3 linked regions of the Caenorhabditis elegans genome follow. The protein of the gene in region 1 purifies or fractionates together with the protein of each later gene. This does not show direct contact. Each region holds a gene or a part of one and is shown in the gene's direction. Other genes may lie near its edges.

Region 1 (8,560 bases):
TTCCTAAAAAGGCTCACTTTAACTAACGCATATTTAGTAATCAGCTTGAATCATCCAACTTGTATGTTGTAGCTTGATACTTGGTATTAGGAAAATTAAACTTTGGGGATTTGATGGTTAATTTTGTATGCTTCTTTGAGCTGTTTCTGTTATATTTATAGAATCTTGATGGTCAAACTAATTATGAAATTCACTTGGTCACTGAAAGGGAATTTTGGAAAATAAGTGTGGAAAATAAGTTAATGTTAATTGCCTGCGAACTTCATTTAAATTTTATCACACTACAATTTAAAAATTCATTTTATAACAAATGTACATGAATATGTACATCGGTTCCGCTATAACTTCTATTGTTTCTTCCAAAAAAAAAATCGAATAAAAACGCCACGAAAAACATGATACAACCACAAAACACAAAGAATACAAGATATAGTCAACGTCACTACCACATTCTTCAAAGATATGTGACAGCGTTGATGGTTTAATCATTTGATTTGTTTCGGTGCAAACAGATGAAAAACAGATGCGTTAAAGAATGCGCCCATTTTTGTTAATGAATGAGTCATATGTCATATGTCAATTTGGCAAACGGTACTATTTTTGACAAATTGTCAGTTGATTTGAGATATAGAAGGCCGGTTTGAACAGATTCTATGACAGGCAAAAACCAAAAACAAAAAAAAAACATACTAGGGAATATGTTTTATTGGAATTTTGAAAACACTATGTATGGATTTATTGGAATTGTTATTATAATAGCAATAATAACAGTAACAAAACTTAATTAACTAGCTTGGCTAATTAAGCAGAAATGTACTTGCAGCGTTTGTTATCAGAATGCCAATTGTTAGCAATTTATTTGAATGAAACTTCCGGTGTCATCTGACACGAGCATGTGAAAAATGAATGACCCAGTTGGCAAAAAAATTTTGTCTAACTTTTGTCCATATGAATTTCAATGTGACAAGACGTTTTACACATTTATATTACTCAAAGTGATCATAATTTTTAGATAAAGTTTCAATTTTTAATACAAATTCAAATTGGTAGAATTGGTAGAAAACTCAGAAACGTTTGAAATGTTCTGCTAAATTTTTTGTCATTTTTCAACATGCTTTCGGATTCCTTAAATTAAAATGTTGTTGTGACATAAAACGTGTGGCATCTAGCATGAATGTTTCCCCTGGTTTGTTTTTCCAAAAAACAAAAAAAAAACACAATCTCATTTATATTTTAACGATTTAATAATCGATTCAAAGTCCACCAAAAAATTGACATGACTTTTATCCATTTAAATATGCCTGATAGGAACAATTCTCAACAAGAATTATTGAAATCTGAATTTCTTGCTGGAAATTTCGGAAATAATTGTTTCTCAGTAGAAAATGTTTCCTTTCCATTCTATCCAACACCAATAAATCAACAAACAGTGAAAGAAGCAATGCAATGAAATAAAATGACTATGAAGAAACAATTGCGTGTGGCGCGTTTACAGTGCCTTCGGAAAGATACTTAGAAGAGAGTGCGGGAACATATTGCAAGAATTGAGGGGAATTGAAAGAATCAGGAAGCAAATCTCATTAAGCATACGCCCAGATAATGCATAATGGTGGCTTGGGTTCCAGGCAGTTATAGGAAAAGTAGGCAAAGCTCTTGAAGAGAGAAGTGAAAAAAATTATCTGTGCAATTCTCAATGGTAATTGCAAAAAATAAAAATGTCATTAATAAGGCAGGTTTGTAAAAAACAATGTTACTACTTGCAAAATATTTCCACCGATGCAGAATTGAAATGTTGTCATTTTTAGTATCGACACCATGAAAGTTGAATTTTGCTAACATCTCAAATTATGTCAATTTTTCGTTATCCCAATCTTTCATCTTTATAATTTATTTTGGTCCCCTAGTTATCTAAAATTGATTTATGAATAACTGAATAACCCTAGATTGACATGAAAACGCATACTAAACTGATAGAAATTGCATTATTTTTTTTTTGAAACTTTTACACTTCCCGGTTCATCCGTTTGTTGGTGGTATAATTTCTGTTTAAAAAAACACTTTAAAAGTTTTTTTCGAATTTTTATGGAGTGAATATCTTTTAAAAGTAGTGCAAACTTTGTTTAAATGGACTCCAGCAACAAAAAGTAAAAGGCGAATGGACACTGAAGTAAGTTAATTATCGTTTTAGTTTCGGTTTTTGAAATGGCTTCTTTCAGAAAAAAAAAACGCACTCATATCCTAAAAAGTGTTTTTCATAATAAACAAAAATTATAGTTTCTTCTGTTTTTTTAAATATAAATGTCACTCTAAAATTTTAACAAATTGTTCAGGCAGTTAAAGGAGGACTAACGGTTCGGACGATTTTGAACGTATCGACCCAAAATGGGCCCAAATGAACGAATTTTGTAATGAAATTGCTCAAAAAATTTTCAAAAATGTTTTATGGCGGTTCAAAATTTCGAAAAAATGACACTGATTTTAGCCAAAATCTCGAATTTTGCCCATTTTTCCGTGTCACATCTGTCCGAAATTGCTTTTATCATCCTTTATTGCAAAAATCATCAAAATTGGTTAGCTATCGGCTTTAAATGTACCTTAATCAAGGAAATTAAATGAGATAAACTACCAATATATGCAATAAAGGGTGATAATTCCAAAAAAGCAATTTCGGACAGATGTGACACGGAAAAATGGGCAAAATTAGAGATTTTAGCTAAAATCAGCGTCATTTTTTCGAAATTTTGAACCGCCATAAAAAATTTATGAAAATTGTTTGAGCAGTTTCATTACGAAATTCGTTCATTTGGGCCCATTTTTGGCTTATACGTTCAAAATCGTCCGAACCGTTAGTCCTCCTTTAAACATAATTTCGAAATCAAATATTATTTTTGAAAAACATGAAAATGCCAATCAAAATCTCATATTGTTTCGTTTGGTGTACGGTAACTTTTATTTTTGTTGTTTCAATTTAGCAGCCTTGTTTTAATCAAGAAAATAACTCATGAAAACGTGAAATTAGTTATTCGCACTTCTCGTGCGAGATTAAACAAGTGACATTTTTGCAAATAAAAAATTATTTTCGAGATTAGATTTTCGGCCAGAAAAGTTTTACGGCGGTATAAAACATAATTTGATAGTGCTGCAGCCGCACATATTGTGAAGAAAATAACAAAAAAAAAACAAAATAATTGCCAGTGAAATATCAATTATAATTGACTTTCATTTGACTTTATGATCTGGAACATCTTGTTATCGTCATTGAGCTGCAAGCTACTCCTGAACAACTTTCGTAGTTCTGAAATTGCAGGATAAATTTTTTTTCAGTGAACATACATAGCAGACTGAGCTGTTGGCACGAAAACCGGCAACTGTCGATTTTTTTCCTACCGCTTGTTCAAAAACTGTGAAAAAAACAAAACTTTAAAAACAGAATGGCGCCAGTTAGAATAAGCATACAAGTGCAAAAATTACTATTCAAAAAATGAAAGGTTGTGTTATTTTGAGAGTAGTCAAGTGGTGAATGAATACTTCAATTAAATTTTGAAATTATACGCAAATCATGCGACGGCACTGACCAATCAGCGTTACGTAAAGGAGACGACATACTTCGGTGATTGGTTGGCGGTTTCCTGAATAACACGTGTTTCAAAATTACATTGACATATTTACGGTTTGTCCAAATTCGTAAAATTGGCACTCTTGATCATATTTCTTTGCCTGTTTTTTTTGGCATTTTTCAGAGCGAGCTTCAAAAAAAACTATTCAAATTTTGCCACGCTTTTAATATTATTCACTTTTTCATTTAAATTTTAGATCAATTATAAATGGTTATTATTGAGTGATAACAATATACTTTTTCTAAACACGAATAAGATTTTTTTTTCGAAAATAGGTACCTTTATATGTTTCAAAAGTGTTGAATCACACGTGTTGCCAATCTGAAAATGGGATGGTATCTTCTTATTGACACAAGGTGAATTCAAAAATTTTCCTAACGTCACTGATAACACAACCGACCATTGAGTTTTATTACCTCGATTTTCACTTGCTCGCGTTTTTCACAGGACACGCAGGTTTGACTAATAATGCTAGCTAGAGCTTCTCTTCATTCAAATGGTGTGGATATGCATACCGCTGAGTATGCTGATTATAAAAAGGTGGGTCTTGAAATTGATTCAATTTTCTAATAAATTGTACAGCTAATGAGAAAATTGGAGTATTATAAAACTATGTTTAGGCTGAAGTCACATCTCATCATGCTCGAGACATAGTGCATATTAACGCAGGCGGCACAAGGTTAGTTGGGAATTGAGAACATGAGATCTGAGAATTTAACGAAGGCTTCAGATTTACTACACTTTACGACACTTTGGCACAGTCAAAGTCGTCATATTTCCTCAACTTTATCCGCATCGACCGCACCAGTGGAAAAATTGTGCTTCTTCAACAGAGAACTATTGTGGGTGACAATCTAGAAATAAATATACATACTAATGAGGATGCAGAATTTTTTAATTGGAGACTATTAGGTTATCTAGAAGCTAGCTGAAAGCCTAAATCCTACTGAAAAAACTTCCAACAATTTTTACTTGTGCTTTTTTCAGAATTATTTTTCTGAATTTCAAGAGAATGCTTTTAATCCTCATAGCTCTCTCTAAAAAAATTTCAATACAAATTTCAGCGTGATGAGTCAGGAGCAATCTTCGTGAACCGGGACGGGCGTCTGTTTGCATTCGTTCTGCAATTTATGAGAGACGGAAAGAACACTGTCCTGCCAAAAGATAAAGACGTGTTAGCACAGCTCAAAGTAGGTGTTTCATGTTTAATTTCATCGCCTTCTTAACCATGCGTTGTCATTGATAAGCACAGTTGCTTGTTTACTAGAGGTACACCGAGGTGTGCCTTGTGTTTTATGGGTATTTATGTGTTGGCGATTGTGTGTCACGAATATTGGTATACCTAATCAATTGGCATGGGTAGAGAAAATTAAGTTATACAATTTAGTCATGTGCAGTTACTATTTTATGATATTGTTAAGGAAAAACAATATGTTTTGAAAAATTGTTTTTTCCAGGAAATATCATTCAAAAATTAATTCAAAGTGCAATATGGAAAAAAAACCAACAAATACAAGATTAACACTAATGTCAACTATGTCAACAATCATAAAAAATAGAAACTATGAGATTTATGCAAAAAATGTGTAGCATACATAAGTGTGTATATTAAATGAATCTTGAAACACCAAATCAATTTATTGAAAACAATCACAACTTTTAATTTGAAAATAACTCCAATGATGTATGAATTGACAATACATATAAACTTCCCTTATTTTTTCCAGCGAGAAGCAGACTTCTTTGGCATGGAGGTATTCAAGTACCTAATTCAAGAGACACTTGTTGACATTGAAAAGGAACAACGTGCCAACACCAATGATATTGTGGATATTCGCAATTCGGTGAACCAAATTGCGAACAACACGTACTACAATAATGGAGGACGCATTTGAAGTTTACTTCCTCTTTCTGAATAACTTTGTTAATGACCATGAAATAACGGAAATAAAGTGCAAAATTGTGTGTACTTCTGAACGAACTTGTTGAATTTGGTGTTCGTTGAAAATTGACTTGGGGGATGGAGTAATCATATTCAAATTATTTTTAGTGATCCTTGTGAGAACATTTGAAACCAAAAAGATGTGCTTAAAATTCTGAACACTTTTAAATTAAGAAAAATCGGTAGAATCGAGTTATCGAAAATCAAAACGTCTTACTAAACTTCAATTACATTAGCCATAAAAAACTATAGAAAATATCGATTTTCAAAAACTAAATTATATTCAATCTTTTACAGATTTCTGAAAACCAAGTCAAAACTGATAAAAGATACAACTCGGAAAATTGCTCTAAATCAGCAATGTGGAGAAAAATATTTCGTTTAATATTTTTGATTGGGGGGGGGGACTTTATTGGTTGTCCTGAATCTCTCTCGAAAGTTAGTTTCCTCGCATAAATTAGTCTTGCGCTCTTAATTAGCATTGTTTCTGAGCAATTTTTTGTGTCTTGAAGCCTGCGTCGCTGCAGTTGCAACTGAAAACTAATACAGATGTTTTCGTGTACTGTTTATTTTTTGCCTGCAGTTAAAATAGATCTATTTACTTGTTTTGTGCAGACTTAAAAAAGTAACAATGTTCTGTTCAGTGTGCTCAATAGGTAAACAACTTTTTTTGAAAGTTTGTTGAAAGATACTTAAAAAATTCGAGCTCCATGTGAACATGCGCTATGAAACGTTATCTTGCCATGAATTAATCGTTATTATTATTAAAAATTCTTTTGATTTTTTTAAACTTTTGAAAACTATTAAAAATACATAAACATTTGCAAATATTTTGCAATAAAACTCTTTAAGACTTAAGTTTCTACGACTGCAGTTAAAACTATTTACAACGAAATATTTACAAGATGTGACCCGGAACCCGGAACATTTTGCCACGTTTAATATCAAAGCACGATCATTGAGCACCATGTTGACCAGCATGGTACGTGTAATATTTTTACACGCTTCGTTGGAGACAAATTACATGATGAAGTTTATTTATTTTGATAATCAACCAGTCGGATAATTTCGAAAATATACGATTTTGATCTAAACCCAAATTTTTCAGAATGTGCGCAAGTTCAGTTTCAGAGGTTCCGTTCTACTTCCCTGTACATTTTTTTTTCTGCGAATCACACTATTATATCTAACTCATAAAACCCTTTATTTAGTGGGCGCTTTTGCGAATAGGAGAAATTGTTCTCAGAATCCAATAGTTTCGAACACATTTTTATCACTGTCACGCAATTCAGCATGATTCAATTTCTGTCACGTTTTTCTCGCATTTCAGTCTATATCCCTTTTCAGCAGTTGTGACTCTACATTCTCTCCTAATCGAATTTGAAGCGTTCAACAATTTTCGATAAAATGACACCGAAGTATCAACTGTTTTTAATTTTTATGATAATACTTCAAACAATGTGCATGCTTTACAACATTGTGCTCCTCACAGCAACAATAATAAATCGTCGGAACGGTAGTTTTTGAATTTTAGGAGTCAATTACATTCAATTAATTTTTAAGCTGCACTCCCACTGGCCTATATTGTTTTAATGAGCATTCCCGGAATTCTAATTACAGTTTTCCTTAATGTTAATGTAGCTGCTTTTGCCTTCCTTACTGAGGAAGAATATGAAAGTGAGTTGCCTGTGGAGAGTTCTGAAAACATATTCGAACATTTGACGTTTCTAGACTATCTGACAGCATTTGGTGCTCAATTTAGTCTTGGAGCCACATTTTCGTATTTCCATTCTCTTTGCATTTCTGTGCTAATGACAGTCAATCGATTGGCTATTATACTCAACCCATTCTCTGAGATGTTCACACAACGACGACTTTTCGGATATGCTGCCGTTATTGCAATTGTAGTGCTCATATCATTACTTATTCCATACTTTACACCGTGTCGTATTATTTTCATGTTGAATCATTTGTCATTTATATCTGCGTGTGACCCAGAACGACATCCGGTTAGTCAAAATCTGAGCATTGTAATCATTTTTGTTCGAATTCCGTCAAAGGAGATCAAATGTTTACTGCCTTAAAAAATGTTACATTAAATTTCAATTCAACGTGCCAAGTGCGTGTCGCGTTTGAATATGCCAAAAGAATGGGCCGAACCGGGGATTGAACCCGGGACCTCTCGCACCCAAAGCGAGAATCATACCACTAGACCATTCGGCCATGGGAAAGCTTTTCCTTCCGAAAAGAGAAACGATTAGACACTTGCTTCTCTTTTTGGGGGAAGAGAACAATGAATAGCGCCAGTGTTTGCTTTTGAGAGAAAGCAGTTCTCATGAAAAAAGGAGAAACTTCCTAAGATTGCAGATCACAGTTTTCCAAAACCAATATGCTATTCTACTTCCATTTACATGTATGTTTGTCAACTTGGCTATTATCTTGCATCTGCGTTTCGCACGGAATGACACATACGTAAAATTTAAAAAGTTCTTTACCAAAAGTAAGTGAAAGTTTTGTTTAAAAAAAATTTTCTACCTAATTAAATTAAGATCATCACATCAGCGCCGTTCCAACTGTCAAGGCTGCAGAACAGAGCAACTTGTCGAAAATTCAAGCTCGCAGAGACCTGATCATGATGAGGCAAACAGTGGCAATTGCTGTTTATTTGTCTATTTATGAACTTGGAGCGTTTATCACAAAATGTTTTCCGGTAAGAAGTCTAGTCTAACATATGTTTTAATATGCTGCAACGGTACATTATTTTTAGACTGTTTTCGCTAGTTTACCTGAAGTTGTGAGAGAAGGATACTTTTACTTCCGCTTGGAGTCGATTCCGATGATGAATTTTTTCATCTACTATCTAGAAACACCAAGTACCCGAAGGATGATTCGTCGGTTTTTGAATCTGAAAAATAATAATGACAGCACGGCTCAAAATGCAACAGTCTTCACAGTTGCTCAACGTCGCTGACCAGAAATATGTCTTAATTCCAACAATTTT
Region 2 (7,404 bases), 5.6 Mb from region 1:
ATTCCATATTTATCATCCATATGTCATTCTTGGTTCTTTCGTGGTCCGTTTGGTAATGACAACACTTGCTCCGATGGCAATGTACTCTTATGGATACAACAAGTTATATGTAAGTGATTATGATATTTTCTTTGATAATATGTTTATTACAGGCAAACGTGCTTAATGTACAACATAGAAACGCCGCCAGAACATCCCAAGGCCAGGCTGAATATGGTGATTATCGACGACGCTCCTACACAAGAGTCGATGGAAACAAGTTGTGCTGTGATGGTTATTTGCCACATATGGATGCCATTGCACTTTTAGTCATTGTTGCTGGAGCGATTGGTCCTACCATCTACGCTCTGTTGATTCTTTATCAGCATGAACAAAAAGCATTAATACTGACTTGCATCATAATTGACGTCGTCTACATGTTTTCATGGATTCTGATGTGGCTTGGAATGACCTTAAAAAGAGATTGGGATTTTAATGTTACGCATAAAGTTCATCAGTTCTATGGATTGAATGTAAGTTTGAACAATAAATTGATAGTGTCAAGCAGAATTATTTTCAGAAAGGAATGGCAATTGGACCAATTCGTGGAAATGAAAATCCATCTCAACTGAAAAACTCTATTCTTGTTGTTCATCGTGATACTGTAAGTACATATTAGTTCTTAAAAGTGAAACAAGCATTATTTTTTTAAAGATGTTTGTGACCGATGACCAAACAGCAAAACAATCGCTTCTTCGAGCAATTCACAGTGGAAAGTTTGAAATGATAAGTCCACCCGATGATGTGTACTGGAGGCAAGGTCAACAAAGTCCTGCAACTCGGGCGAAAATTCTCACCGAAGTTGACGGCGTTAAGAATAGTCCTGAAATGTCTAGATTGTTGAGAATGGGCACAGATGACACGCAACAAACGATGAGTTATCACTCAGTGAGTCTTTGTTTCACAACTATCCAATTTCGTAACCTAACATTTCCCAACATTATTTGTTTCAGAATGGTGGTCGTAACATAACTCAAGCTCAAATGACCAACTCCCAAATTTTGCAACGTGGAAACAGCTCACCACCAGGTCCTAGCCAGTTTGGAACCATACAACGCAACCAACAGCAATACAGCCAAATGGGCACACTACAACGCGGGCAAAGTGGCGGAACTCTTCAGCGTGGCGCCATGATTCACGACAACGTCTGGAATCAGTACTCGGCGATTCAAAAAAAAGACGAGCAGCAGCAACACATGCTGGGCCAACGGCGAGATAGTGGAGAGGCCGCATACGGAAGAGTTGATAGCACATACGGAAGTTACGCAAGAATTCCAAATGTGGTGGGTAGAATAAAACAGGAGTTGTTGTGAAATATGTGGTGCACTTTTGCAATCGTATGATTTAAGTTAGCAAAAACATTGGCTGATGATCGACTTAATAGTCAAACATTACATTGAGTCGATGTTTCATAATAACAAAAACTGATGATATCACGGTACATGCGTAATAACTGTACCTCAAAAAGTTTGTAAGTATCTCACAAAATATAACGTGACCCTAAACATAAGCCTGAAGCCTAAAAAACAATTGTATCATTCATTTGCCTGTTGACCATTACTGAACTTCATACGAAGCGAACATTTTAGGGTACAGCTACTAAATATAAGATACAAATTTCTGTAAAAATAGAATATTCTGAATTCCAGTCTCGAATCCAAGTAACCCCACAAGGAAGTCAAATTCGTGTAAACGGTTACGGAGGGCTACAACAAAACACACTTCAGAGACGTGAAGTCACACCTACACAACATTCTCAACAACCATCATTAAGCTCAATCCGCCAGTCTCCACTTTTATCAGACCGCTCTGGGATAAACGTGCCTCCGCCACAACCTCTTGTCAGCAGGTATCTTGGCAAACTTTATGTTCAACATTTCGATATAATTTTTGAAAAATTCAGGGAACAGTCTCCTTATCAACGGTCTGCGATCAAACTTTCTTCGTTCTCCGAGAACAAGGGTAGTGGAATATATGGAACAAGTGGTATTGGATCAGGAAATAATGTTCAATGGGGAGGTGCTCAACGAGCGGCACCTGGGCAACCAGGTCAATTGCTATGGAACCCTCCAGGAGCTACAAACGGACACAATAAGGTTATTTTATCTATTTGAGTTGTTGTATTCGAGCTTTTCTCTCATTATTTCAATTTTTTGCACGATGAGTTATTTATTCATTCACATTTTCGGCACACATCTCATTCTAACATCCACATCCATTGCAGTCATCGCTAACCAGCACAACAAATTCATCTCAAAACGATGAGCAATGCTTTACCCCGACTTCAACACTAACAAGTCACGGAAGTAACTACACTCCAACACCTGGATCTCCACAAGGATCCAATCCGATCTATTCCCGAATCAATGGAGCATCTTCCACATCGTCAAATCTTTACGGAGTTGCTTCCAAAGAAAGTCAATATGCTGACAGGACACTTCAAAAAGCACCGATCAAATCTACAACAGTGACGACTGGAAATACAATACTTCGTTCCGTGAACGGAACAGATGACACTGTATCAAGCTTTTCTCGTCCACCCACTGGAGCACTTAACCAAAATGACTTTGCTACCAGCATTGTGTGAATATTTGTTTTACATTTTTGGTAGGTCTTAATTCAAAAGTAACTAGAAATGTTTACAAATTCAAAATTTTCAAACGGAATGATTGCAACTCTGAAATATAGAAATCATCAAAAAAATTGAAACAATTGAAAGCGATATCATAACTATCTGCATCGAATTATGAAAAAAAAACCGAGATATTTTACTATTAATTTACAAAAATGTTATGATTCACCGTATTTCCTCTATTAGTATTGCATTACCCTTTAAATAGAAATAAGGAACACGATTAAACCGAAATTGTATATCATGTAACCTGATCATGTAAGCCTAATAAAATTAGTTCAGAAAACGGTTTCAAAGCCCATATAATTTTAGGATGAAATTGATAAGTTTCACTGTTCACAGAGTTTGCATTCTTAACTTTTGACAAAGATACATTTTACAGGAACCCTACTGATCCCGATGAACTATTCCCCCAATTAACACATGAACCAAATCAACTCCGTGACAATGCACTTCTTCTCGCCAAACACTTAAACAGTTAACCGCCAAACAAACACATCATCCCACTATAATTGTTGAAATTCATTTTTTATTTTTCTCTATAATTTCGGTCTTGATTTGCAAATTGCTGAAAACGGACTGAATTCTACTGTTTATGGAACAATTTCCTCGCCACTTTCTTTGATTTTCGACCCTTGTAAGTAAGCGCGTAATAATTGCCTCCCGCATTTTTATGTATAACTGATAATTTCTTCTTACGTTTTTCTACTCCTCCTCCCTTTTTTCATGTCACCCCACACCAAAAATCATCAAAAATCGTTTCCTTTGTTACTGTACTATATTCCCGTTGGATATCGGGTACATTTCTTTGAATTTCCACAATTTCTCTGAACATTTTGTCATAATTCGTTTTATTGTTTGTCAACCCCATTTGACCACATTCTTTGTTTCAATATTTTCTTTCTCAGATTTTATTGAAATCAAATTTCAAAAAAAAAAAATCACTAATAAAGAGCAAACAAATTTAAAAGTATCAAGGAATATAAGAATATGTTATTGAAATATGATGTAAACAGTTTTATCTCAAATAGAGTTTTATAATCAGACAGAGTAAAGAACTCAAAGATTCCGGATTATCGGGTTATCAGTGGGTTATAAAAGTGGGCGGGACAGTGTCATGCGATTCAAGTTTTCGTCGGGCTGAGCACTTAAAATTTCCTTGTTGAAAGTCTGTATAAAATGAACGAGACAATCGTTATGATAACAGCACTTTAACTCTTCCCTTATCTTTCGGAATTTTCATTCATTTCATTCATGACAAACTTGCAGACTGCTGATTTCTTGATAAGGTTAGAATGTCGTTTTTATATTATTTTCTTTTTAGAATGAAGACCACCTTCTGCCTTCTGGCCCTTGTCGCCGTCGCTACCGCTTTGGCTCTCCCAAGCCAACAGGACAATGCCATGAGCTGCCTCATGTGCGAGGTCGGAGTCCGTGCTGCTGAAAACCCAGCTGACAGAGAAGCTCACACCGTTGAGGACGTAAGTAGTCAAACTGTTCGTTTGGTCATTATAGTGAATATGATTTTAGAAATTTGACGCCGAATGCAAGAAGGAACTTGGAATCATTCCATTTGCCGAGAAGGAATGTGAGAAGTACGGAAACTCCAAGCTTGACCCCATCATCAACGAGCTCGAGGGAGGAACTGCTCCAGAAGATGTCTGCAAAAAGCTCAAGGAGTGCTAATTCTTTATGTTTCTTTTTCTTCTGATAAAGTGTGAATGACCTTTGAAATTGTTTATTCAGATATGAACTTCAAATTGTCAAATATCAGCGCGCCTGAAACTGATAAATCTCACTAACTCTGAACAAAACTGACTTTTCGTGAGAGGAAGAGCAAAGTTAACTACAGTGGCAATCAAAGCTATAGACGTTGACTACCAAAAAGTGTCGATTCGGCTCTAACGTGACAACTTCTTGTTAGCTCCAAATTGAAAGCTGAAATAAACTTTTTTCGTATAAGGTTATCAGGTTATTTTCTACGCAAGTGTAGCTTGAATTGTAACAATTCAAGCCTACATATGTCAAAAATTAATAAACCGCGTTTAAAATAAAATTTTACCTAAACATTTAAATCTGAAAGATGAAGTAAACTCCGATGATCAATGTTTTTTTTCAGTAAACGTTTGAATTTTTTCACGTTCTTTGGTTGAAAATTTGAATCAAACGATTTTAATAAATCTCGACAAAACTTTGTCAGTGAATGCATTTATCTTTTGAAACAGGCAGAGGTTGTCCTGTTGGTAAGCAGGCTTGAATACCTATTCCAAAATCATTCTTGATTTTTGGTTTGGTAAATGATGTGACACTTCGTTTTCACATATTCAGTCATTTTGTAATGTGTTCTATGAAAAAACACAATTAAGGAAATAAGATCTGTTAATGGCTAAAGTCACACATGTCACACCAACTATAAAAAAAATACAGTTATTATATTCCACAAAATCTCTAGTAACCGTTTCTGTTTAAAAAACTATGTTTACAATTTCGGTTTTTTTTTTGTTTTTTTTTTGTTTACAAACCTCAAATTGTTCTCGTTGCACTTCACATTTAGTGAATAACTTAGAGAAAGAAATACAACAACAAAAAAACAAAACTTTATCACATAAGGTACTCTTGTGGATATTCGAATGTAAAACTTGCTGTTTCCTGCATGTCATTTGAGAGATAAAATTGTCACCTGAAATATACAATTCTTTGATATGTTAAAACAAAGTGCACTAGCCTTTATGCTCGACTGAAAAATTGAATCAACAATTATAAATAGCAACCGTCTTGTAAAACAATTTTGCGACTTAAATATATAACCTTGAAATAAATTAAATGGCTGAAACTTCAAAGTTTTCAACTTCATCACTACAAAAAAGTTTTTAAAAAAGTACTTTGAAAAAATTGGCTATTAGTTGTTAGCATTACACTTGAAATACTTGTCCTCCACAAAACAAAATTTCTCCGCAATTGTCATAACACTTGTCATAACACTACTATCAATTGCATAAAGACAATTTGTGCATGGTCAATCAAAGTTTGATGAAACACGTAGAAATACAAAAAATTCACATTTGATAGAAGCTATTTCTGAGATTCAGCGATAATAAAGTGAAAAATTATTGAGCAACTGTCAATGTGCCAAATTAAAGCCTTATCAGTGCGCTAAATGTTGCAAACCCTTCATTTCAATTCAGAAAATGCCAATCGAAGGTTGTATATAAGGTTACCTGTGAAGAGGAAATTCATTGTCCAATCATGAGGTCGATTATTATCGCATCTATAGTGGCTTTGGCCATTGCTTTCTCCCCAGCTTTCGAGCGCACATTTGAGCCGAAAATCGACTATCATTACAAGTTCGACGGACTTGTTCTTTCCGGCCTTCCAACTGCTTCCTCTGAGCTCTCCCAATCTCGTTTTTCTGCTCGTGTCCGTATTCAAGCTGTCGATGACCGTCACATTCACCTTCAACTTGTGAATATTCACATGGCCGCTTCCCACCTCCCAGAGTCCGAGCAGATTCCATCCTTGAACTCCATGGAGCAGCGCGAACTCTCCGAGGAGTACAAGCAAATGCTCAAACTCCCACTCCGTGCTCAACTCAGAAATGGACTCATCGCCGAGCTCCAATTCGACAAGGAAGATGCTGAATGGTCAAAGAACATGAAGAGAGCTGTTGTCAACATGATCTCATTCAACCCAATTGCTCCAAGAAACGAGATTGAGAAAATCGAATCTTCTTATGACAAGGAGGAACAATCTGAGGAAAACACTTCTTTCTTCACCAACGAGAAGACCCTTGAAGGAGACTGCCAAGTCGCCTACACTGTCATCCGTGAGCAGAAGAAGACCATCATCACCAAGTCCATCAACTTTGACAAGTGCACCGAACGTTCCGAGATCGCTTACGGACTTCGTTACTCTTCCGAGTGCCCAGAATGCGAGAAGGACACCGTGCTCATCCGCCCACAAACTGTCTACACCTACATTTTGGAAAACGAAGAGCTTAAAGAATCCGAGGTCCGCTCCCTTTACACTGTCAACGTTAACGGACAAGAAGTCATGAAGACTGAAACCCGCTCAAAGCTTGTTCTTGAGGAGAACCACTCCATCAAAAGTCACATAGAGAAGGTACGTTAATCCATAACTTTTACAGTATGTTCTAAGACAAATATTCTTTCAGGTCAATGGAGAGAAGGAAAGCATCATCTACTCTTCCCGTTGGGAGCAACTCGTTGAAGACTTCTTCAAGAATGGAGATAAGGCTGAGTTCGCCCCATTCGAGAAGTTCCCACTTGACAAGAAGATGCACTTGATCAAGACTATCACTGAGCAAATACAAGAAGTCGAGAACAACATCCCAGAGACCTCCCACTTCCTTGCGCGTCTTGTCCGCATTTTCCGCACCACCTCCACCTCCCAACTTAAAGAGATCCACGAGACTCTTTACGTCAAGGCTGACAAGAAGGTATACATTTTTAGTTCATTTTATAATTTACCTTGCAATATTCAGATCCAATCTTTGATGGAGCACGCTCTCGCTATTGCTGGAACCAAGAACACCATTCAACACATTCTTGTTCACATCGAGAACGAGGACATCGTTCCACTCGAGGCCGCTCAACTTCTTAAGTCCATCCAAGAGACTCCATTCCCATCTCAAACCATTGCTGAAGCACTCATCAAGTTCGCCGAGTCTCGCGTTTCCAAGAACAACCAGGTTGTCCGACAATCTGCTTGGCTCG
Region 3 (7,053 bases), on another chromosome or scaffold:
CTGTCGGGTGAACTTGTCCGCCTGATTTGGACTACTTTTTTTTTAAAGCAGAGCTAGAGAAATTATAATAAAATTCAAGAAAAATGTATAGACCTAACAAATGGGAAATCAAGCGTCGGAAAAATTTAAGAAACCACTATTGATGAAACCCATAGCAAAGATTTTTGCGGCAAGGAAGCATAGAATTTAAAAAAAAATTTAAAAACTACTTCTAAACTAGAATACTTTTCCCATTAATATGAGTGGTTGAATCTTGATTAAATATGTGACATATAAGTCACCACAAAATTGAGCAAATACTCAAAACTACTTAATAGTTTTGTGAGTCACTTTTATAAACGTTCAAAACTTTCTTCAAAAATAATTTTCAAGTTCACCTATGTACCTTTAATATTTTCTAATTTACAAAAATCTAAACGAATATAAAAATGGATTAAACTTACATTTTGTTCTTCCACTGATTGACTTGGCATTTTCTTGAGCAACTTCTTTTTTCAGTAAAACAAATTTCAGATATGTGTGCTTAACTTTCAAAAGATATATCCTTGACTGTCTCCTTATTTTTTGAGCAATTTTGATAAGTTTAGCCAAAAAGTAAGTGGGCGCTCATTTTCGCGACAATCTTTGCTGTCTGCGTCTCTTCGTCTCACGTGCAATTTCGCTGTTCAAATATAAAACAATGCACACACATACAGAAAGGCTATTTTTGACAGGGAGCTCAAGTAAAATGGAGAAAAGCGAAGTTGTTCGGAAATTTTTTGAAATTCAAAAACCTAATGTCAACTTGTAAATACAACTGGGTGGTCAATGTTCAATAACAAACAGAGGGATATTTTGATTTTTGAATTGTGTTGGAATTTCAAAGAACGAAAACCATTTTACCAATTCAGATATTAACAGGAAAGTATGTAAAGAATATTTTCGAAGTCCATATTGACAGTTGATAACTGTTGACGTGGGTGAACCTGACCAAGCACATACATCCGCAAAGTTGGGACGGACGGGCTCTACGGAGTCCAAGTGACAACAATATCTACTTTCTAGACACAACATGACACTCTAAAAAAATCTGCTCAAATAAATTGAAGTTGGCAGAAAAAAAAAAATTTTACAGAAAAATGTTGTCAGAAAGTTGCAAAAGTTTGATAACATACTCACAAACCTTTTTCAAACAGGAATTTCATTAGATTCAGTATTACATTTTAAAATTAAACTCTCCAGATTTCCATGCATCTGCTGCGAAAGTAAATTACAGATTCTGAAAGCCGAAGATTTTAGCTCTCGCGCCAGGTTAAGTTTTATTTCATTCACATCTTATAGTTATCGTATTCCCGAGCAACGTGTTTATTTTCAATTAAACCTAAAAACTCCTTTTAAAATCAAACTTCAATTAGACATTCACTTGTTCTTATCAGCGGAAAAAGTTCAAAAACCTGGCTCTATCGACAGAAGTGAACTTTTCCATGAAAAATAGGCAATAACTTTAAAAACATAGCAGGTGGAGGGTGTAAAGGTTTTATGATTGGCGTATCAAACATTCAGAGCATCGAAAAAGATAATAACATGCACATTAGGCAATTGATTTCTGACGACGATCACACCGAACAATGTGTGGTATATTTGGGATTGTTGCCGCTGGAAATTATGAGCATTTGAATGTTCTTGCTGCAAATGGATTGGCTGCTCTTCAACACAGGTGGGGTTTTAAGTTTAAATTTTTAATAAGCTCTGTCTCAAAAAGTTTGATTTCATACATCTCCTACATTGGTTTCAGTTTGAATTTTTAACTGTTCAGCTCCTCATTCCTAAATATCTAATTTTTCAAAAAGCTCTCGTTTTCTCTTCCCGTTCATTCCGCTTCTGCTTAACTTAAGCCATCGTTCCACAAGAAGGCAAAAGTGTAAACTCCCTAATTGTATCCGAGCCAGTTTAGTCTGACTAGACGTCAATGGAGAAGTTATCAATTTTGCGTCAGAAATACGCTGAATCGCCAACATTAGAATCACGTTGCCAATTGGATGAAAATGACGCGTATGTAGAGATTGAACTGGCGTCTCGTGGGTCACAGCAAACAGCGCTAACCACTCGGACACACGACCAATAAAGTGCTTGTAGCGTTGCAGTGGTTGACATTGTTGCAAACAAGTAGATTGTGCAGTGATTTTGAGTTTGCAAAAAATCGAAATAGCTAAATGAATAAGTCTAGCATTTCTTGCAAATATTGTCTAGTTTCTAAATTGTTTTCCGTGCGTGATAGAAAAATAAAATACTAAAACAAATTAGTTGCAAATTTGCAATTCTTATCATGTATATTTTGCAGAGGAACTGAATCAACAGGACTCGTTGGTTCAGATGGAATCACTCGAGACCACGTGGAAATTATCAAAGGTCATGGACTTGTCCGAGATGTGATTACTGAAGATAATATCTCAAGAATGAATGGGCAATCGATAATAATTGGTCATAATAGGTATTCAACTGCAGGAAAGAAGAAGTCTGGAATCAATTGTGTACAACCATTTGTGGTATATACTGCAATGGGTACTGTAGCAATTGCTCATAATGGAGAATTGGTTGATGCGAAACAAAAAAGAAAGGAAGTACTTCATGAAGGTGTTGGTTTATCAACTGACACTGACTCAGAGCTTATTGCTCAAATGATTGCAAAAGCGATTGCTCTGAATGTAAAATGCAAGTATGGACAAGAGATGGGTGATATTACAAGAGTGAGTTTTTGAAAAACATGAAAATTCTTAAACCAAAAAACTTCAGGAGCTCGCAGTAACAATGTCTGCACTAAACATGTCATATTCTCTACTAGTAATGACATTTGATAGACTATACGCAATTCGTGATCCATTTGGAAATCGTCCACTTTGTGTTGGTACTGTATATTCTAAAAATGGAAATCCAGAAGCATTCATTGCATCTTCTGAATCTTGTGCATTTCCTGCAAATGCTAAATTAGATTTCGAAGTGAGACCAGGAGAAATTGTGGAATTATCGACAGGAGGAATCAAGTCGGTGTGGCAGGTAAACTTACATATATCTTGGCCTGCCTACGCGCCTACCTACCGCCTTCTCTGACCTCATTTTCTCATGTATGTATTTTGTTAGACATTAAAATTTAAAAAAGTGTTTTTAAAGTTTTGCAAATACATGTAGTTTTTAGACTTTCTGGTTATTTTTGGTATTTTCCAAAATTACAATCGAGACAGATGGGCTATGCTGAAAAATCAGAAACCTGGAATTATATGAGTCATTTCAGATGAAACCGAATACTCCTCTGGCTATGTGCATATTCGAATATGTCTATTTTGCACGAAATGATTCAGAAATTGAAGGACAACAAGTACAAACTGTTCGTGAAGAATGTGGAAAAACGATGGCTCTTGAAGATGATCTAGAAGCAGATATTGTTGGAAATGTTCCAGATTCTTCGCTGAGTGCAGCAATTGGATACGCTTCTCAGTCTGGAATCACATATGAACCTGTTTTACACAGAAATTCATATGTTGGAAGATCATTTATAGAACCAAATGATGAGATGAGACAAAATGCGATTAAAATGAAATTTGGTAAAATAAAGAAAACTATTTAGAAAGACTTCATGAATTCTATTTCAGGAGTATTGAAGAAAAAGATTCATGGACAAAGGATTGTGTTAGTAGATGATTCAATTGTACGTGGAAATACGATGAGAACTTTGGTAAAAATGTTAAGAGATGCTGGAGCAAAAGAGGTATTACCCTTGTTGTTAAAAATAATGATTTTTCACCTTATAAACCGTGAAAAAGGTCTTGACACGAGCAAAAATTTTCAGCTACCGTATAACGCGAGTAATTCTCCGTTTTTGCAGATTTTTCCAATACATATATTTGTTGTAAAACTGTGCATCTAGATGTTCAGCAAATATTAAGAAAACAATAGCGGAATACATAAAAACGAGAAACTGGAGTATACGGTAGAGTACGGTATCTTAGAAATTTCGATCGTGTCAAGACCGCATTATTCAAATAATACCTCTAAATTTAAAGGTTCATCTACGAATTGCTTCCCCGCCTGTAAAATTCCCATGTTTTATGGGAATCAACATTCCAACCACAAAGGAATTGATTGCTGCCGAAAAAACAATTCCAGAAATCTGCCAATTTGTTGGAGCCGATTCAGTACGGTATCTTTCGGTTGACGGTTTAGTTTCGGTGAGTTTGAACCTCACTTTCTCCTCAATTTAATTTTTTTTCAGTCTGTTCAAAAAGGAATCGAACGAGCTGCCAACTTCTCTCCAGGACATTGCACCGCATGTCTCACTGGAAAATATCCAGTTGCTATCGATTTATAATTAGTGTTTGAAAAGTTTGAATAGATTATTTGTATTCATGAAAAACAAAATCAATTCAATTAAAAATCAACAATGAATGTGTATAAAAATAAGAACAACAACAGTTTGCGGAAAAAAAATAAAATGATTAACAACAGAAATCAGGACGCTTACAAGCTCTTCTTCTTTCCACGAGATCTCAATGTTTTCTTTTCGACAGCAGCTGGACGGGCACTTGCAGCGACGGATTTGAGGATTGTCTGGAAAATTAATATAACCAAATTTTATTTAAAGTTTTTCGTACGTTGGATAGCGTAGATTTAGCCTGTGGAGTAGCAGCAGCAGCTGCCTTCTTTCCTGCGCGAGTTTTTGGAGTGAACTGTTTGGGTTCCGGCTTTTCAGTTTTAGGAGTCTTGATGACAACCTTTTTGGTGACTGGAGTGGAAACTTTCGGAGTTGCTTGTTTTGGAGTCACGGCCTTTGGAGTAGCTGCTTTTGGAGTTGCAGCTTTCACAATTTTCGGAGTCGTGCTTTTCGGGGTGACATCACTGATAAATTGAACCTCATTGTCAATGACCTTCTTAAGTGGCGTTCTTGGTGTTCCAGACACAGAGAAATCATAGTTGATCCCCATATTCTGCAGCTTCTTCAAAGTTTTGTTGAGATTTTGCACGCGTTTCTTGGCATTGATGACGTCATTTTTTCCGGTGGTATTGTTTCTGGCAATTGTATCTTTTTTAGCGATGCCCAAGTAAGATGGACGCATCACAAGCAGTGGGCCATGGCGCATTGCCTTCGGGATAAGTTCTGGTTTCATCACCTAAATTTAATAAGTTTTTCAAGGATATAATGGTAGAAGTTGACCTACCGTGCACCCGAGACGTTGCTCGAACATCAAGTAACCGTTCATTGATTCGGCAGCGATTTCAGCAACAGCCTTGTTGTCGAATCCAACGTACGCCCATCCCTTATGATTACCAGTCTAAAATAATGATTTAATACTATATTAACAGGTTGCTGAACCTACGCGTCTGTTTCTGGCCACACGAATTCTCAACACATTTCCGAACTGACGGAAATACCCGAGCAACTCCTTCTCGAAGAATCCAAACGGAATACGCTTAATCTTGACAACATAAATTTTCTTCAGCTGCTTTTTTTGGACTTTGTCTTGCTTCTGAGGTTGCTTGCGTCCTCCAGAACTGATCGAAGTTGGATTCTGGGCAACCATTGTGTCTGAGATCTGAAAAATGTGTATATTTCGTGCAATAAAAATTTTCAAAACAATATTTTGCAAATTATAAGAGTTTTCAGCTGTTCAAACATGAAAAATCAGGAAATAAGGTAGAAAAATTAGCTTTAAAATTTTGTGAGGGACAAAAGCAGTGTTACTGGCGCGTTTCTTCGTTGACGCAGTTTCCGTGCAAGGCGCATGTTTCGTGCTGAAGCGCACGCACACAAACATTTTTGTTGTTTCGTCGCATTTCTAAACTTTTTCATCCAATCAACCGATTTTTGATCTCTTATTCTTATCACGAAGGTCAATTATTATTCTAAACGGTTTAGACAATAAATACATACTTTCTATTTTCAAAACTCCAATCAGTTCCTACTTAACTTTTCGCTTTTATTCACTGCCTAATATCAGAGGTAGTTATGTACCGAGACGTAAAATTGTTCAATGTTTTTTAAAGTGTTTATATTTATCCTCTCTGTTCGACTCGTCGATCATTGAGTTTCGATGCGTTCTTTCTTAAATAATTACATTTCAAAACAACATTAACGTCTTTCCCGAAAAAGTCATTCTCCTTTTTGCTGTTTTTTAGATGCATTCATTTTTGTGTAGTGATTAATGATTCCCTTTCAATATTTCCAGATTCAATCGTGATATCGTTTTGATCTATGTTAGCATAAATAATCGTTTCCAATTTAGTTTATTTTTAGGAATGAGTGATTCGGACGACAATGCCTACAGCGATTATTTGGGAAATCGAAGAGCTGCTCTCCAAAAGAAGCGACAACCGGTACGAGTTTGTGAGAGCGACGACTCAGACGACGATTTCGATACCAGCGGTCCATCGCCAATGAGAAAAAAGACGCGGGAAACCCAACTCTTTCCGGACGACTCGGATGATGATGAATGCGTTGAAGTAGAGAAAGAAACATACTCCCAAAAAGTCAGACACGAAATTGATGATGTAGAAGAAGGTTAGTGTTATCATACTTTTTTATACAGCTCATACAAATATTTTAGCTTATCGTCGATCTATTTACAAGCGAGAGACCGTTATTCACGCACCAGTCGAGAAAAACAATGTTATTAGTGGACTGTTGAAAATCTGTGAAGGTTGGGACGAAGCTGCAAAATCAGGAGCACAACCGGAGGTTGAAGATGTGAAAGACGACTCAGACGCGGATGAATCAGTGAGAGGAAAAATTGTTTTTTTCTTAAATTTTGCTTATTTTTTAGAGCATTGCTGCTGAAAACTTTCCCGTCACAGTGGTTATTCTGGATTGTGAAAGTCACGGAAATGATATGAAATCTCGTCATGACATCTTTCTCGAATCGACGTTCTCTGAAATTAGAAGAATTTATGCGACGAAATGGGGATGCCCTGTATCTTGTGTAGTTTTCAGTCACAATGGCAAGACAATTGACACATACACGACACCACAAAGCTTGGGTTGGCGTCCGATGACACTACCACATCCACTCATTGAAGCAAGCAAGG

The links.
Region 2: the proteins of F46G10.1 (region 1) and spp-14 fractionate together in Caenorhabditis elegans (co-fractionation; one large-scale study listed by BioGRID). This does not show direct contact.
Region 3: the proteins of F46G10.1 (region 1) and ppat-1 fractionate together in Caenorhabditis elegans (co-fractionation; one large-scale study listed by BioGRID). This does not show direct contact.

What each region holds. Positions count from the first base shown.
Region 1 is NC_003284.9:13,307,252-13,315,811, reverse strand, and holds F46G10.1 (BTB domain-containing protein), read left to right. Parts: upstream 1-4,056; 5' UTR 4,057-4,085; coding exon 4,086-4,157; intron 4,158-4,237; coding exon 4,238-4,296; intron 4,297-4,340; exon of another isoform or gene 4,341-4,347; coding exon 4,348-4,459; intron 4,460-4,681; coding exon 4,682-4,807; intron 4,808-5,344; coding exon 5,345-5,512; 3' UTR 5,513-5,585; downstream 5,586-8,560. Other genes in the region: srxa-8 (G_PROTEIN_RECEP_F1_2 domain-containing protein), read left to right, coding at 6,967-7,075, 7,123-7,236, 7,291-7,568, 7,927-8,059, 8,109-8,269, 8,327-8,530.
Region 2 is NC_003284.9:7,721,984-7,729,387, forward strand, and holds spp-14 (Saposin B-type domain-containing protein), read left to right. Parts: upstream 1-3,995; 5' UTR 3,996-3,996; coding exon 3,997-4,152; intron 4,153-4,201; coding exon 4,202-4,357; 3' UTR 4,358-4,400; downstream 4,401-7,404. Other genes in the region: K09F5.6 (Protein tincar), read left to right, coding at 1-109, 153-512, 560-643, 694-927, 993-1,322, 1,689-1,888, 1,943-2,135, 2,264-2,626; vit-1 (Vitellogenin-1), read left to right, coding at 5,918-6,790, 6,843-7,127, 7,173-7,404.
Region 3 is NC_003281.10:4,687,738-4,694,790, forward strand, and holds ppat-1 (Amidophosphoribosyltransferase), read left to right. Parts: upstream 1-1,542; 5' UTR 1,543-1,607; coding exon 1,608-1,696; intron 1,697-1,896; exon of another isoform or gene 1,897-2,034; intron 2,035-2,320; coding exon 2,321-2,726; intron 2,727-2,772; coding exon 2,773-3,033; intron 3,034-3,268; coding exon 3,269-3,578; intron 3,579-3,626; coding exon 3,627-3,742; intron 3,743-4,037; coding exon 4,038-4,202; intron 4,203-4,246; coding exon 4,247-4,342; 3' UTR 4,343-4,434; downstream 4,435-7,053. Other genes in the region: tag-243 (Costars domain-containing protein), read right to left, coding at 444-473; nifk-1 (RRM domain-containing protein), read right to left, coding at 4,492-4,581, 4,626-5,141, 5,190-5,303, 5,349-5,552; T04A8.8 (Rad60/SUMO-like domain-containing protein), read left to right, coding at 6,268-6,529, 6,576-6,745, 6,792-7,053.